Linked DNA regions of Danio rerio. The protein of the gene in region 3 interacts with the protein of the main gene of each other region in a pairwise test. Links are inferred from orthologs where the notes say so. Each region holds a gene or a part of one and is shown on either strand. Other genes may lie near its edges.

Evidence for each region.
Region 1: the proteins of eif4enif1 (region 3) and eif4ea interact in binary tests that used the Homo sapiens proteins (3 or more experiments, as listed by UniProt). The link is inferred for Danio rerio from reciprocal best matches to the Homo sapiens genes EIF4ENIF1 and EIF4E.
Region 2: the proteins of eif4enif1 (region 3) and eif4e2rs1 interact in binary tests that used the Homo sapiens proteins (3 or more experiments, as listed by UniProt). The two-hybrid records come from large-scale screens. The link is inferred for Danio rerio from reciprocal best matches to the Homo sapiens genes EIF4ENIF1 and EIF4E2.

What each region holds. Positions count from the first base shown.
Region 1 is NC_133189.1:48,177,963-48,184,295, forward strand, and holds the start of eif4ea (eukaryotic translation initiation factor 4E-1A), read right to left. Parts: upstream 3,921-6,333; coding exon 3,903-3,920; intron 621-3,902; coding exon 520-620; intron 423-519; coding exon 327-422; intron 1-326. UniProt on the Homo sapiens protein: Acts in the cytoplasm to initiate and regulate protein synthesis and is required in the nucleus for export of a subset of mRNAs from the nucleus to the cytoplasm which promotes processes such as RNA capping, processing and splicing.
Region 2 is NC_133198.1:48,178,246-48,184,540, reverse strand, and holds the start of eif4e2rs1 (eukaryotic translation initiation factor 4E family member 2 related sequence 1), read right to left. Parts: upstream 3,921-6,295; 5' UTR 3,713-3,920; coding exon 3,696-3,712; intron 1-3,695. UniProt on the Homo sapiens protein: Recognizes and binds the 7-methylguanosine-containing mRNA cap during an early step in the initiation. Acts as a repressor of translation initiation.
Region 3 is NC_133181.1:43,481,259-43,486,959, reverse strand, and holds part of eif4enif1 (eukaryotic translation initiation factor 4E transporter), read right to left. Parts: intron 4,419-5,701; 5' UTR 4,363-4,418; coding exon 4,282-4,362; intron 2,509-4,281; coding exon 2,435-2,508; intron 784-2,434; coding exon 656-783; intron 561-655; coding exon 286-560; intron 203-285; coding exon 4-202; intron 1-3. UniProt on the Homo sapiens protein: EIF4E-binding protein that regulates translation and stability of mRNAs in processing bodies (P-bodies). Plays a key role in P-bodies to coordinate the storage of translationally inactive mRNAs in the cytoplasm and prevent their degradation.

The DNA.
Region 1 (6,333 bases), on a different chromosome or scaffold from region 3:
GCCAGTCAGAAATACTTCACCATTATCACCAGGATTCATTTTAAAGGTACAATTCACTCTTGAGGGGATGTAAATAGTGAGTAAATTAAAATTTTTGGGTAAACTATCCATTTATGGTAGATTGGAGTCTAATTTCTGTTAAATACTTACAATATACAATATTTGTTGTGGTAGGCTATGAGCTTTAATAACATATACATTTATAAACTTATAACAGACTTAAAAAAGAAAACATAAAACGCAACAGATGGTCTTTTTTATCATATGTTTTAATATTATCAATCATGTTATTTGAGTTGCTTCAATTGTGTCAAGTTAATACTTACGCCCAGAAGTCCTCCACGGTGTCAAACTTTGAGATGAGACGGAGATTAGCTTGCCATGTTTTGCTTTTGTCATTTTTAAAGAACCAAAGAGCCCATCTGAGGAAAAAAAAGGGGGGGGCACGATAACTCCTCTAGATATTTTGCCATCGTATCACATCAAAATACATAAAACATGTGGCCTGGGTGGCATTACCTGTTCTGCAGTGGATGTTTAATGTAATCTTCAAGACTCACGATCTGTTGCTCATTTTCCTCATTTTTTTCTTCTGAATTTGATGGATTTGTTGAAGTTTCCTACAGAAATAGAAAACAACAACTGTTATATTAACAAAATATGCATCTAAAGCTCTGCATACTGAATGAGAGACTTTTATGGGAAAATAATCCATATTTTGCCATTTTAAAAACTATTGTAAAAAGCAATATTTTAAGTCCCCATAACATTTTTTTTCATTTGTTGAATTACTGACAAACTGTTTCACATTCAATATTTTTACCAATATTTTTTACTATTTTCATGCCTGCCATGAGTGGAAATAAATACTATAATGAAATGTGAATGGAAATAAATTAGAAGACTCAGTTAGCTAATTAATTAACATGTTTTTATTTATTACTTATATAGTCTATGCCAGTGGTTCTCAAACTTTTTTCATCAAGTACCACCTCAGAAAAAATTGTCCCTCCAAGTACCACCATTTAACCAGTATTGAAATACAGTAGCGTAGTAGGCCTAATTAAGCAGCTACAGTTCTGCAGTTTAAAAAAAAAAAGTTTGAACATTAACACTGCTGTGCTTATGTGTAAAAAAACAAATAAATAAAATTTCAATGTTTAAATTAAAATGTAATTTTAAAAGTTAATTAAAAATGGTAGGCTACTGTTCTTAAAAAGTAAAGAAAAAACACCTGTACTTAAATGTAAAGTGTTCACCTGTAGTATAAAAGCCTGGAAATGCTGCTTGGACCTCATAAATATAGGCTATATGTCATCATATTCATATACGAGTCATTTTTTATAAATATTTAAATATCTGTTGCATGTAGATATGGCATATCGGATTACTCTGCGTACCACTAGAAGGCAGCCCGCGTACCACAGTTTGAGAACCACTGGTCTATGCAGTTTTTTGTTTTAAAATGAGAAAACGCTATTAAGAGAGCAATCAGATTTTTTTTTTTTTTTTTTTTGTATTGTTAATGACTTTCTAAACGGGTGACAAAAGCCCCCACGAGTGAGCAATGGCCCTAACAAAAAAAAAAAAAAAAATGAACAAAAAATACAAATAATGAAAATAATAAGAAAATTACTCTGGCTTTCCACTTTCAAAAGCATTCTCTTTCAGATGAAACATGTTATAATGGTATATGCATAAATATTAGAATTTATTAACAAAATCTAGTCCTAAATGAGTCGAAGAAATAAAAAAAGGACTTAAATTTTTTCAAAAGCTTTTTGGCACTAATGTAAATAACATTAAACATAAATAACTAGCATTTTCATATTGAAGCACTAGCAAAGTTTTGTCCTAGTACTAAAAACTAAGCCAGGTCAAACTCCCTGGAATGTATTATCAGGCTTAAAGTGAGCACTATTACTTACTAATACTTTTCCATTAGCTCTGCCTAATACACACTACATTACCAGACAAGGCATTGGCCGGTATATGATTCTGACGGTGTAATAACCTTGGATAAAAATATCATGGTTTCCAGGTATCACGGTATTTCGATTACTGCTTTAATTTTTTTTTCCTTTTTGAAAACAATATATTTTATTTTTTGAAAGATTTTTTACAAATCTGGAGCAGTAAACATGTCAAGATATATAATGAAAATGAATCATAGACATGAATCTTTGGATATCTTTCCAGCTTGAGAAACTGTTGTCTTCAAAAACAAACAAAAAGTAAATAAAAAATCTTACACGGTGCGGTATTACAGAAAATTTTGACAGTTTTAAAACCTTGACTTTTCCAAACCGTGGTATACCTTGAAAACGGTGATCGTCACCTGCCTAGATCACACTGTATACGCTACAAAATACTGAGGTAAAGTTGGATTTATATCCGCACATTCGTTCATTTAATACAGTCCTTGACTACTAATATAAAGTCCCCATTTAGAATTGGCAAATAATACTTTTCTGAAATTATATTAAGAAAATCCAAATATGCTAATATAAAAAACTTTTTTACCTCAATTACAAAAATATATAAAATAATCTAATTAAATAAACAGACTTATGGCACCATTTTAGTTTCAGAAACTCTGAATAACCTCAAAACAGCATTTCAACAAAATCTTGAGGGTGAATAAATAAAATGGGTATAAATACTTAAAAAAATAACAAGTAAATTTCTTTATGGGTGCTACTAGATGAATAATTTAACCTAATATGTTTTGTTCAAAAGGTTATTTAGTTAAAAAGTTCTCAAAAGCTGCTTATATACCCTAATGAAAGAAAACTGATAGAGGTTAAGTTGGTTTAAATTCACACATTTATTCATTTAGCAGTGTCTATATTGGTTACCATATTACATTGAATATTCAATCGGAATTAGCATGCACGTATGACTTCTAAACAACATTAACACTATTTAATTCACTGTGAACAATGTTGTGCTTTGATAGTTTAACTGCTGATTTCCCTATTTAGAATTTGCAAATAATACGTTTCTGAAATTATATAAAGAAAGTCCAAATATGTAAATATAAAAACAGTTTTACCTTAATTACAAAAATATATCAAATAGTCTAATTAAATAAACAGACTTATGACACCATTTTAGTTCCAGAAACTGAATAACTTCAAAACAACATTTCAACAAAATCCTGATGGTGAATAAAAAAATTGGTATAAATACTTAAAACAATAACAAGTAAATTTCTTTATGGGTGCTAGATGAATCATTTAACCTTATAAGTTCTGTTCAAAAAGTTATTTAGTTAAAAAAGTTCTCAAAAGCTGCTTATATACCCTAATGAAAGAAAACTGCCCATATTTGAAACAGAGTTTCTCCAGAGGAAGAATGAACATTAAGTTTCAACCTTCTCATTGTTATTACACTAAAACATGAATCTTTCTAAACACATAATATTAACTCACAAACTAAAGGTTATATTACAAAAATCTTTAAAAGTATACAAAGTTAACCTTTAACAATATCGCAATATGTAACGTTACTTATATTAAGTTTCATTTACTGTCCATACAGAGGCTAAAAACAAACCACATACTTTTCATTGACACATCAGCAAACTACGAGTCTAAATAACAGAGATGCTTCAACACCACGTTCAACTCTCTGAAAAAACAAGCAGCCCACAGCCCTCCATTTCAGAGAAAACATCAACTATTTCACACTTTTGAACAGTCTCCTTCAAACGCATGTGTGCGACAGTCGGGCATCAGCTCATTTGACTGTATGATGGAATATAAATCTGTCTCTACTTGAATATTTATTCAAATTAGCTTATACACAAGCCCTGGTCGACATAAAACTCGTATTACAGATTAAACCCCGCCGTTAAAGTATGTGCAGTAGTGTTTGTGAGAGCAGTTACACTAACTCACCGGTTCAGCAGTCGCCATCTTCTACAAATGTGAAGGGTCTTTCCGTGTGTGAAAACAACATTTGATTGGCTAAACTCAGGCGAACTCGTGTGCGAGCAGCGCGCGCCCGGACAGCGACACCCAGAGGACGGCAGTCTGTTTATGACTGCCAAAAATGTCTATGGGAATTTAATAATAATGATAATAATAATAATAATTAAAAAACTTTATTTAAAAAAATATTATTTCGAGGTGCTTCACAGATATTTAATCAATGATACCAAAACTCTTTTACAAACTACTCTTTTTTTTATTATTATTCTTTTTAAAACTACTTTTATTAAATTATCATCTTGCTTCGGACACAAAAATACATTTGTAACGAATTGTAGAACATTGAATTGACCTGAAGCATTGCCCAAAAATTTAGAAGAATGTTATAAATGGAAAAAAATCATTTAAACACGTAATATGAGCTTTATTTAGATTTTGTAATTACAAAAACTTTTATTATTTGTCTCATTCATTCATTAATTTCCTTTTCGACTTAGTCACTAGATTAATCTGGGGTCGCCACAGCGGAATAAACTGCCAACTTATCCAGTATGTTTTATGCAGCGGATGTCCTTTCAGCTGCAACCCATCTCTGGGAAACTTCCAAATCACACTCATACACGATGGACAATTTAGCCTACACAATTCACCTGTACTGCATGTCTTTGGACTGTGGGTGAAACCGGAGCACCCGAAGGGAACCCACGCGAACGCAGGGAGAACATGCTTCTTTACACAGAAACAGAAACAGCGACATTTTTGTTGTGAGGCGACAATTTGTCTCACATTAAATGAAATAATTTACTTGGTTTAATGTTTTTAAGAGTCATATTGTCAACATTGGCATTATTTTACTGTATTATCTTTGAATGTTCAATATTAACTATAGCCTATTTTATTTGGCAAATATATACTTTTAGTCATTAATTTATTTTGTGGCAGATTCATATTACTTTTAGTTTTAAGAATCACTACAAATCATACATTTTGGTTTTCATTTGTTTAGGCAACTTGGACAATTTGATGTTAAGAATCAAAACTTTCACAAACATTGACAATCTTACTAAAATCAATTCATTACAACCAAATAATCAAACGTGGTTATAAGTATCATTGACAAACTAGTTGAACTGACTTTTCTAATAAACATTTTACATAATAAAACAGACAATAAATACGATCTTATTGTTCAAACCTTCAAAATAATTATATCAAGCCATTTACACTGCAAAGGTTTATTGTGAAAAAAATTAACTAAAATCACAAAATAAATTTGTAACAATTGTAGAACATCAAATTGACCTGAATTAATGCCAGAAAAAAAAAAAAAATGTGAAGCTTAATTTTTGAGGAAAAATAAATTTAAAAATCTCAATTTGACATTTATTTAGCTTTGTTTTCCATACCAAAATCTTTTTTTGAATCTTTTCTAAAGAAGGGGGGAGAATGGGTTAATACTTTTCTTTATGTGTTTAAATGTTCATGTTTATATCTTTATATCTTGATCTATTTTAGTTAACATTGATTAATTGTGACTGTTTGGGGTTTAATGGTTTTTAAATACTAAACTGGAGAACATGTACTGATGTTTATACTTACCTTTCAATTAGGGTATGTTGGTCTGTGTTAAGGGGGTGGGGCTTCACCTTTAAAAGGCAGCCTCAAACAACAATTCGGGGTCAGTTCACCTGGCGAGCGAGCGAGCTACTGTGGTGCCGTAAGCGATCTGTGACTTGTATATTTTTATTGTGATTGTACATATATCATTTTGTTTGTTGTTTATTTGTTCTTTTATTTTTGTTTGTTTTGCTACTTTGCTGGGTTTTGGGTTTCACTCTCGTACACTGTAAATAAACCATCACTTTACACGTTATATCAGCGAGTTGTGCCATCATTTAGAGGTTTTCTCATTTTTTTATATCCTTTGAGAACCCACTACGAGCCTTCCTGGCTCGTAAACCTCACATTTGGTGTCAGAAGTGAGATGGCAACTCGCAAGACGTCTACGAGAGGCAGGAAGCCTAAAGCGGGGCTTCGTTCACAGACTGGAGCCCTTAGCAAGGAGGATGGGGCATGGGTTGCAGCTGAGTCTACGGAGACGGAGTTGGAGGAGGAACTTCCTCTCGTTCGACCCAAGTCCACATCACCGCAAGTCACAAAACCTGTTTCTTCTCCTGAAGCAAAGACTTCATCTACTGGAGGTGGGATGTATGCATTAATGAGGGACTTTCTTGACTCACAAGCAGAGCGGGAGCAGCGTTACCTAACGGAGCTACAGAGCTTTAAAGAGTCAATTCTGCAAGCGGTCCGGCCAGCTGAGGGGTCGAGTGAAACAGAGAGTCCACGATTGGGGTTGCCAACGCCAACAGCACAACGACCCCCATCTTTCCAGAGAGAT
Region 2 (6,295 bases), on a different chromosome or scaffold from region 3:
ACAGTAATGTTTATAGACCATTTTGAGGGATGAGCTTCCGAGGATCCAAAAAGGTCCACATATATTGATAAATAATGTTAGGATAGCTGTTTTTACATTTAGTTACGATTGAATTGCCTCTCATTACAGTTATGAGTTTGATAACAAGCAGGAAATGTTCATGAACCAATGACATCACCTCATTGAAATGGTCTATAAGGAACAGAATATAAACTGAAACCAGACAATCACTTATGTATGTGTGTATTAAGGTAAAGTTGGTTTAATATTCTCACATTCAGAATTTCTTTCTCTCTCTCTCTCTCTCTCTCTCTCTCTCTCTCTCTCTCTCTCTCTCTCTCTCTCTCTCTCTCTCTCTCTCTCTCTCTCTCTCTCTCTCTCTCTCTATATATATATATATATATATATATATATATATATATATATATATATATATATATATATATATATATTAAGGGTGGAGCCGAACCCGAATACGGTATTCGGAAAGGCACGAATTGCGTGTTTTTACGAATACTTGATTCGAACAAATACTTGAAAAATTATTTGTATTCGGGAGCAAGAAAAACACTATCAAAAAGCAGCGTTTCCTCATGAGACCACAGTGCATGCCCGCGTGAGTGAGTGAGTGAGTGAGTGAGAGAGAGAGAGAAAGAGAGAGAGAGAGAGAGGCAAAACGCGCCAAAGCCCGAAACTGAAAGCGAGACGTGACTTTTAAGGGGTTGTTTCATATGGATTTATTAATCATTTTTACTGTTCAGTGATCGCAAACTGCCGTAGTTTATTAAAGACGCAAACTCCTCACTGCACGTCAGCTGCGCGCCTTCAGCAGACCTCCTCATTCCTGCAGCACGAGAGCTTTATGATTGTTTATGAGCGCCAAAAGTGGCGGATCTGTTCGGTGATATATCTGACTGTGTGTCACCGCATCCCTAAGGACTGTTTGGCGAAATATTTGACTGCATGTCACTGCATAACAAACGACTGAAAGGATATAACTAGAGAACTCTCCACTGTGCGACTGGATGTGAGCGTATGGCAAGCCGTTTTAGCATTTAAACCTTGTTCAGACTATCCATAAATATATTTAGAGATATCTCTAATTATATTTTGACTTGTCATAATTATAATTCGACTAGTCAGATTGGAAATATCTGCAAATATATTATGATAGACTAGTCATATTCCTCCATTGACTTCCATTGAAAAATATTTGCAGATATCTCTAAATAAGTTGACTAGTCACAATTGTAATTAGAGATATCTCCAAATGAATTTTGACTAGTCAAAAATCCAATTCAAGATATCTACAACTGTAATTAGACTTTTAGTAAATTAATTAGAGATATCTTCAAATATATTTGTAAATATCTCTAAATATGATGAATTAAAGATATCTCTAAATGTATTATGACTAGTAAAAACTCAGAGATATCAATTACAGTTGTTACTAGTCAAAATTCATCTGATTACGTATTAGTACAATTGTAATTGCAGATATGTCTAATTGTCATTCTGAGTAGTGGAATTATAATTATGACTAGTCAAAATATAATTAGAGATATCTCTAATATATTTATGGAGCCAGAACAAAGATTTAAATGCTAAAAAGGCTTGCCATAGAGAGCGCTTCTCACTAAACAGAGCACCGCGCAACCTTCTATGTAATGTATTATCACATGCACTAAAAGCATCCTAAAAGCATCAACACAGCCACATTCTGCCCCAGCAAGTCAGTTTCAAACATAAAAAAACAAACAAACAAACTTTGTGTCTTTTTGTGGCAGGCAGATGACAATAGCAGGGCTGTATCTTTTAGTATTATATAGAATACTTTTGTTCTGCCAGATCTCCCAGGCAGGGTTTTATTTAGATTTATTTAGTTAATATTAGTTTTTGGAATTCTGTCCATTGGAAAGAAGTTCTTTCAGAAGAAGAACAGTTTTTTGAAGTATTATTTGTTTTTATTCTGTCTATTCAGTGTCCTTCAACAAGAACGGTGGTGGTGGGGTTCATAATATTCACAATGGTATTTTATTAGTTGTTGGTTTAACCATGGATGAGATAATGGCTTCTATGTTATTTTCTTTTCAATGACATTTCTTATCACATGTTCAAAAACAACAGCCAATATTGCATATCTATAATTTATATAATGGGTATAATTAAACAATACTTTCACTATAACGTAAATTAGAAGTGTAATAGAAAAAATATATATTTTTGCGCCATTTTGAATTTCACTCGAATACAAATACAAATACAAATACTTTTCCCCCCTCAACAAATACAAATACAAATACAAATACCGGCTGCTCCGCACATCCCTAATATATATATATATATATATATATATATATATATATATATATATATATATATATATATATATGAGCAATTCCAGCATTATGGATGTGACATTTGCAGTAAAAACTCAACACATAAATTGACAGAGGAAGTATATGTTAACATTATATTGAAAAATTTGATTATATTTTCTAGAGCAACTAGCCACAGAGTTATGGGAGCAGAAAAATATCAATCTGTAAACATGTTTTGTACTTTAAATGTGGAAAATAAGCATGCGTTATGGGTGTGACAAAAAAAGTCTGCGAGTTTACAGTATACAACACACTTTGTAGAAATTATGTGAATTAAACTGCACAACCCAAAAGAAATAATGCTAATCAAAAGGATTTGAGTCGGCTCTCTATAAAACAAAAATGATTGGTTTTATTTTATTTAATATTTTCACATTTCTGAGGAAAAAGTGTTGTTATGCATGTGACATCTCTCTGTTATGGATGTGACGCATGTGAAATTACCATTTGTGTGACTTTGGTAAATCAAATAGTAATAGTTTGAAAACATTAACAGATGCTTTTTGAGTATTTTTAAAGTACAGTAAAATACTTGCCTACACAAAAAACCCAGAAATGGTTTCCGTATTTTGGTAAAAACTTAATTTTTTTTCATGGCAAGGTTGACATTTGCACAGAATTGCTCATATATATATATATATATATATATATATATATATATATATATATATATATATATATATATAATTTTGGAAAAGTATTTCTGCAAATTATAAATGGTAATATCATATTAGCAGCCAATGGCTATCGAAGTACAGCATTGTTTACAGTCAATAAATAGTGCTAATGTTGTTTTAAATTCATAATTTTAGGTAGAATATTCAAATTACCATGGTAAACAGGAATTATGTTAAAAATATATATGGAAATATAGGGTGCATGTAACAAATTGACACTGAATGAATGTCAGAAATAAAACCAACTTTACCTCAATTGTGTGTTGTGTATATAAACATACACATAATAAATAAAATAATGTACATAATAGATAAATAAAGGTACATATTTGTTTATTTTACTTGTGTTTAAAATGAAGATGAATCTAAATCTACTGTTAAACAGTGCACTAAATCAAAGCAAATACTGTATATAAACGTGTGTTCCACATACACATATAAACAATTCCACACATTAATATTACTGTAACACATTAAATAAATGTATCGTTATTAAACTAAAGACATACACACCACACGTTAATCTTTATATAATGTTAATAAACCCGTGAGTCTTGTTGAATGTATCTGCTTTATGTTTGTAATAGCTGAAGTTAAATGTTTAATGGAGAATATTAGCCGTTAGCCGCTAACTTACTGTTCAAACTGATTCATTCCGCGTTGTCGTTCCTGCTTCTTCTTTCAACGTAAACCTCGATATATAAATACGCTTTATAACTTTTGGAATAATTACTGTTATGTTAAACTATTAGATGTTAGTGTGTTTAATTCAACGGGCAGAGAATAAACTATACTACATGCTACACTGAAGCCAACCACGGTCACTGCGCATGTGCGGACGGCAATCGAGAAACGACAAAAAGCACAAACCGCGGAAGACTCGCTTAAAGAGTACACAAACATGTTGATTAAACACAACAAAACGTTGAAATAATCAACGGCAAACAAAACATTATGATAACAGCGTGGTCGAAGCATACAAATCTTTAAAAACAAATCAATTAAATCCGTCCGATTTGCTGGTTTGAGCTAAAATATACAAAATGCTAAGTCTTGTTTACAGTAACTCAGTGCTCAGACAAAAAAAGCCTTATAGCAGGCCGTAGCCAGTCTTGTGAAAGGGTGGTTCTTTTTTTTTTCTAAAAAATGTGGACTTTTGTTGCAGTCATTCACCTCATTTTCTATTTAAATACTTCAATAAGAGGCATTTTAAGCACTATTTTAGTTGGATTAGCTTGTTCATCTAACAACAACCTATTAGTATACACAGCAAGAGTCAGTCTAAAGGCACTCGAAAAATGTGGGGAAAATAATAAAGCCTTTACTCACATGACTATTTCCTAAAACTGCACCTACACGTTTTGATAACCCTTTACTTCATCAGGGTAACCTGATCACAGTTTTAAGTCACAGCCATGTCAATAAAGGCCTGTTACTATTTTTTCCACATTTTTAAGTGCCTTGGACTGATTTTGATGTTTATTCTGATGAATCCCTTACACAAAGAGCACTGACACATTATTTAAGCTACCCCTGAAAACTTTTAGTTTGATTTTGGAGATTTACACAGCCTAGTTAGTGTTAAACTTAACTTTAATAGGCTACTTTTGGTGCTTCAGACCTTATATTAGTTATTTCTATCTCTCAAGAATAAGGTTAAGATTTTAAACAAAAGTCAGGCTACTTGTAAAATTTTTTTTTTTACAAAAGTCGGTCAATAGTAAAAGTTGACTTCACTTAAATATTGTGCATTTTCTTAAAACCTTCAATGATTTATTTACACAGTTTATCATGACATGTCAAAATAGGTCAAATGAGAATATAGTGGCAACTAGATGTAGACATAAATAACTTTATATAATTAAAACAATATCTACAAACTGCTTAACTAAAGACGAAACAGTATAAGTTAAACACTTACTATAGTAAAGTAATTAATCTGTTGTGGTGATTATGGTAACACAACAACTATAGTAATATAAACAATTGACCCAACCCACATAGCAAAATTTCTCTGGCCCAGCTCTGGCCCACACAATCAGGTTTTGCTTGGCCCACATGCCGCAGTGAATTACGGTACATGACTGGACCAAATCTGGCTTCCAGACAAGGGCCAAACACGGACCATATCTGGGCCAAGTCTCAGCCAAGTTAATAACTCATAACTGGGCCTGAACTGGGCCAGATAGGTTGGTGTGTCACGATTACGATGAAATTGATAAACCCATGGAGTGATGCGCTTTAGGCACACTATGGGCACGCTTTTTCTCAGTGACCTGATTGGTAGAATTTTTTTTCTTTACTCAAAAATGATTTTAGTGTATTTTAAATGTGGGTCAAGACTGGCCAAACTCACATGGCCCACTTATCACATTTTTAAATCTGGGCCAAATACTACGTTTTTCATCTGGCCCAAATCTTGTGTGCCGCCTTAAAGACGGTGCCACCTCTGCCAAACCCGGGCCATGTTTGGCCCACATGCTGTATGCAAGTGCCGGATGAAAGCCTGCTGTGCCAGCTTTATGCCAAATCTGGGCCAGAATTCTTTGCTACTAGGGAATACTGCAGTCTTCGATTAATCTGCCTGCATGATGTTTTCCCAGATGATCTTACATTGTAGGTTACCCTCCCACTTTGTCCATGCCCCCTGCTGACATCACAGGTCATGTGACACCGCAACACAACCGTCACTCATTTACCAGCCGTCATCTCTCTCATAACTTACACTTGCTGAATGATTATTATTATGAATGTACGGCTTAACAAATCATCTATTTAAAGGGGAGCTGCTATGCCTGATTCAACAAGATGTAAAATAAGTCTCTAATGAGTGAGTGTGTGAAGTTTCAACTGAAAATACTCCACAGATAATGTTTATAACTCTCTGAAACTGACCCTTTTAGTCTTTAATCTTAATAGTGTGGCGTTTTGGTGACTGTCGCTTTAAATTCAAATGAGATTGTGCTCTTTTCAGAAGAGGGCGGAGCTACAGATGCCTGTGTGCCAGCGTAGCAACAAATTCAAAAACAAAGTTGCGTCCCAAATCGCATACTTATGCACTATTCTACGCCATTTTGTAGTATAAATAGTGTAAGTAGTGTGTTCACACTGAAAATTCTAACAATAATAAGTGCACTTTAATTACCCGGATGATGCACTCATTCAGCCGCTAAAATGAAGTGTGTAATAATGGACACTTCACACACTCAACGACCGCAGGTTGCTTACGTAGCGGAA
Region 3 (5,701 bases):
TGCCTTCTTTAACGGACTCTGGCCTCTTCTTGGAACGTTTGGTCCTCCGTTTGTCATCCTCCAAGATTTTGTCATCAAAGCCAATGAGCTCAATGGTCTCAGACTGACTAGTGGGTCCACCAGAGAACCACTCTGGCTCCTCTTCTGCATACGAGTCATTTCTTCTCCTCTCACTGAACACTCTTTTGTCTCCAAAATCTCTCTGTAGAAGGCAAACAACATTGTCACTGTGCAAACACTACAGGAAATAGATAAGAACCTCTGCATCAATTTCTAGCACAATACCCTAAATCGCTTATCCTTGAAGTCACGCTCTCGGTCTCGCTCCCTCTCTTTGTCAACCCGTGCATCCCTTTCAAAAACGCGTGATGCCATGATGCGGCCACTGCCGATGCGTCGTGCTCCCCCCAAACGGAGAGACTCATTTTCTTTGTTCTCCAGAGGGCTGGTGGGTCGGCGAGGGAGGGCGGTTTGTGCAACTTGACAGCCACCACCAAAACTACGACGTTGCGGACTTAGAACCACCTCTAGATCATCATCTTTTACACGTTCCCTGGGATCTGAGGAAGAGAAAGATCATTTAAGATAAACATCCTCCAGCAAACGGGTTTTAATGGCACCTTATTTGATTTGATGAAGCTATTTGTTCAATTACCTGCAATTCTTCGTTTAAGTGGCACCCTATCGTCTACATAGTCTTTCTTGTAACCTTCTGTAGGACAACTGGACTCTGAAGAGGGATATAGTGAAGCATGCCATTTTTCAGGATCCCAGACGCCATCGCTATGAAGGAGACAGTACAGTTAATGCATAAAATTATAAAATAATATACAAGCCTCAGATAATTTAAAAGCCATTCTAAGATGTCAAAATATAAGCCACGTTTTAACAATACTTAGTAAAGTCAAAAGACAAATGACTACAGTAAGTGAATTCTTTTCAATTAATTGAGAGGAGCAGTTTGTTATGTGCTCCAGAACCACTGGTAAGATTAGGATAACACTAGGGGTCCATTCTTCATACCTTGCTTAAATGATCCAAGATGATTTGGCAGATCCTGAATCTTTTAATCTTGATATCTGATCTTTGGCTAATTTGGATCAAACAAGTTTGCGATTCAGATCAAAATATCTGCATAAACTGATCTGAGATCACTGCATGTATCAATCCTTGAAATCATGATCAGCAATACAACGACTGGCTGATGGCACAGCAGCATAATGACATCATCTGATTAATATTTAACTTTGGCTTTTTTTGTGGGCTGCAGGCTTTTCACATTCATGTGTCAAAAGCATTAGGCAATTTATTTAGCTATACATTTAAAACAGATTTTCTTTATTATAGTAGCCTAGGCCTATTCAAGTTTATTAATGAATTTTGATATCAGTTAAAGTCTCTGCAACGATCCTGGATTGTATTAAGTCATCAATAATCAAATCCAGCTCATGGAGTAATCCATGTAAAAAGATCAGACCCAAGATGTCAATGGCTAAAGCACGTTTCACATCACAAACGTGAGCAGAGCATGTTTTTTTTTTTTTGTCTCCATCTTAAAAGATTAGAGCAGCAGTGCAAGCGGGTGGGTCTATTTTTGCCGCGCTGCAATTAAAGTGACAGTGCATTATGACCAATGAATGAAAGTAGAAAGTAGCAATTTTACCCAATAAATGCATTAATAATATCCAATGATTTTATATATTCATAAAAATGTAATAAGTTCAATCAACTTAAATGATTAAACAGCAACACTTATTTATTTGGGCCCGACCTACAAAACATAATTTAAAACAATTTAGTACGAGTTTTGCTTAGTAAGTTGCAGACTAGTTTGATGATGCATGAATATCATAACTACATTGTATACATATTATGACTAAGCCTACAACATCCTGACAATCAAAAACAAAATGACATGTCACAGGCGATAGTCTTCTGATAGAGTGCACCTAATAAGACATAAATGACACTCCTCAGAGCACAACCATACAGTTCTTCAGGATATCTATAAATTTGTCAAATAAAAAGTTGCAGGTTAAGGAAACAGCATAGAAAGTTGTCGCAGGCCTTGGTGCAGATGAAATATTAAAAAGAAAATGATTTTTATAAGTGTGTTTATAGATGGGTAACTAGATAGAATAGACAGAGATAGATTGATCTGTGTAGTAGCTGGCGATGAGCTGTGCGCTGCAGATGCAGTCGGTGTGAAAGGCAAATGCCTGCAAGCTGATTCTGCGCTCCATACAAGCTGCACACGCGTACACGCTCTGCTTGCCCTTGCTGTGTGAAACGTGTAAAAAGCCAATGAAAAGATTCAAGTTTCAGTATAGGACGATTGTAGCCGAACTTTCAACTGATGTCCTTTTTGCAAACAGTATCCAGAAGATGGTTCCACACATGGTGTTAGAACAATTGAAAATAAAATAAAGTTTACCTGTCATATTTCTCTGACAGACATTCTGGCCTCTCATTTGAAATTGGCAATTCTTTGATTTCCATAAGCTCTTCCTGCAAAAACACACAGCAGATTAAGAAAAACTGAACAAAACATTTCAAAACTGCAACATTTAGTGTGCTTTCACACTAGCTTGCTTGGTATGCACCAAGATTCATCTGAATTTGTTAAAATGGATGCTTGCCCCAAACTTAAGTATGCTTCATTTAAAGGCTATATGGTTTGTGAAAATATGAAAGCAATCCCACTAAACTGTGGGAGCAAGGCCCGATGACTCCTTGATTCTCTAAACCTGTGGATTCTCACACAGAGAGAAGGCCTACATCATTTCTGCTTTCCTTCAGAAGATAAGGTCCCCCACTGCATGCTCTATAAATTGTCAAGTACACTGAAAGGAGAAGGAAAGTGCTACGGTATGCTCACACTTTAGATGCAAAGGGAAGGTCTCAGTTACAGTTGCTAAATGATTTTTCACTAAATTTATGCCAACCCACCTATTATAAATTGTTGGTGACAAAACGATTTTTTAAATTAGAAGTATGTTACAGATTTTCAGACAAGAACATATGTTGGCCACCCATAGTTTGTAAGCAGCAGAGCTTCTTGAGCACTGTCATGAAAAAAAATCTAATAACAGCATTTAAAATAAATTAAAACAATAGAAAGAAATAAAGTTAATTATAAAAAAGGAACCTGAAACAACTGAACTTCAATTAAAACTAACTAATCGATTCAAAGGGGCTTTCGATCTGTTATATACTGGGAGCCTGGTTCCACAAGGTCCCCTTAAGCCTGATTTATACTTCTGCGTCAGGTGACCGGCGTAACCCACGGCGCAGGCAACGCGCGTGGCTGTGCATTTATACTTCTGCGCGCTGTCTCTGCCGGTCTGCATTAACACTTCCGAAACGCTAGTTGGCAGTGAGGTGTAAATGTTCCTCTGTGTCAAGTTTCTTCGCTACTTTTTTGCATTTCCTGAACACTTCCGGGATGTACAAGTGGCTCAAACTCGCTCATTTTGAGGCAGGAACCGGCGGACGTGCAACAACTTTAACTATGAGGTAAACACAAAACAAAACTTTCCATCCGGAGCTCCTTCACGGGACTCCACACTTGTAAACAATCGCTCGCGCGGCGTCCCGCCATTCGCGCGCCTCTCGGTCCCGCCCAGACTCGTCAGCGCTACCAAGCCGACCAATCACAGAGCTTATGCTACGCGTCGTTGCGACGTGTAGTTACATTTTTTGAGAGGTGCACGTCAGTGACGGCGATGGCCACGGCGAAGGGCTATGCGTCAGCGCCGTAGCATACGCCGGTGTTTGACGCAGAAGTATAAATCAGGCTTTATTGTGCTGGTTGCATTTGAATTGACAAGGATGTCTGAAGTAATGACAGTGTACTCTTGTAATAAATTTTTTTTTTTTAACCTTGTAACAGAGTCATAATGCCAATGAAACTGACAGTTTTGTAGGATGCATGTAGGGCTCAAAAAAATTAGGCTGGTTAATCTTGCTTTTGAAAACTTGTATTGTCAACAGCTAATACATAACGATTGCAGAAAAGCAAGTCACCACAGTGCATTTATCAGTATCACACCTTTTTCACTTGCATGTACAAGACATTAAAGAAAATAGGTTTCTAATTTGGTTTAATTGAAGCCAAATTCAAAGCCATGCATGATTACATCATCCTTAATTGCGTAGTAGATTTTAAACTGTAAAATGTTACGAAAGTTAATGCTGATCAAAGTAAGTTGAACTAGATCATCAAAACACGAGGGCAAATTTGCTCCTCATGTGATTGTTGCTTTAAAGGACTGTTCTCACCTTGGTATACCTATAGGCAGAGGTCATTACGGAGTCCTTAATTGGGTCCACCAAGTTTTCACCATTTTCGTCCTTCTCCATGACTGTGGTGGCTGGTCAAACTGAAGAGAAGCCCAAATACCAGACGCTCTAGGCACCTGTCAGATACTGTAGTGTTAGTTTAACTGCTGCATCAATGTACTGCAACATTATTTGGAAAGATCTTAAACAACTACAACATCTTTTAAAGGTATAATGGGTTATATGCACAGCTAGTGTTTTCCAGCCAATGATGTACTTCCGGTGAAAAATTTGTGACTATTTTCAATTTCATGAGGTTCTTTTTACAGCAGCGATGTTGTAATGCTTTAATCTATTTACCTGATTATATTTGAAATGCATCCATTTGGTTATAAAACCATAAAAAGAGAGGCTGACATAAATGTAAAGTCTATGTGCATATACCCCATTCACTCCAAAAAAACAATATACGGTTTATTTATTCATCCTTAGGCCATTCAATATGAAGGGGACTTTTTCACCAGTAGAACATTAAAATATATTTTTAGTATTTAGTGATATTTCTATTAGGGATGCTCCAATCAATTGGTTGGAGATCCGAATCGGCCGATAATTACAATTCAAGACTTGTTTTTTTTTTTCTTTGTAAAGTTGCTTCTGAACGCTGCATGTATGCAAAATCCTTAATTTATTATCTTAGGTAAGGAGTTATACTCATACTTGAAGGGTAATTGTGCTTATGCAATGGTTAAGTTATATAAAGCTTAAAGAATTTGTATTTGTAATCTATACAAGTTGATCATTATTCTGGTTCTGATATCATGTTTTTTTTTTTTTACCTCTCAAATTATCATAAGCTGCTAACATGCATTTTATTTATCACCAGGGACAACAGTTCCAGGTAGGCCTGTGCAATTAATCAAAATTGAATCGCAATTTGAAAAGTTACAATTAGCTAAATCGCAAGAGGCAGTGATAGGGAATATATGCATTCATTTAATTTCCCCCACCCAGAGAAAATGTGTGACTGCCATCTGTGTATGAAAGTCTTACTAGCCAATCGAGAGAGCATGCTTTCATTCTGCCCAATCAGAACCTTTCAATCCGTCTTATATCTGTCGTGTTAGTATGCTGAGTGTTCTGTATTTTTAGAATTATAAAATTTTATATTTTTTTAAACATTTGTTTAAGATACATTATTTCCCTAATCTGAGTTGAACTTGTTTACAAAAAGGTAAGGTAATTTTATTTGTGCTTACTGTTTGCTCTAGAGCAGAGTTGACCAAAGTTGGCCCCGCGGGCCAAAGTTGGCCCATTGTAACCTTTGATTTGGCCTATCATCCCATCTGAGAGGAGAGCAAGTATGTTGAAGAGGGTTGGTGTGAACGTCTTACGGTTTTAGAGAGCGTCATTTTTTATT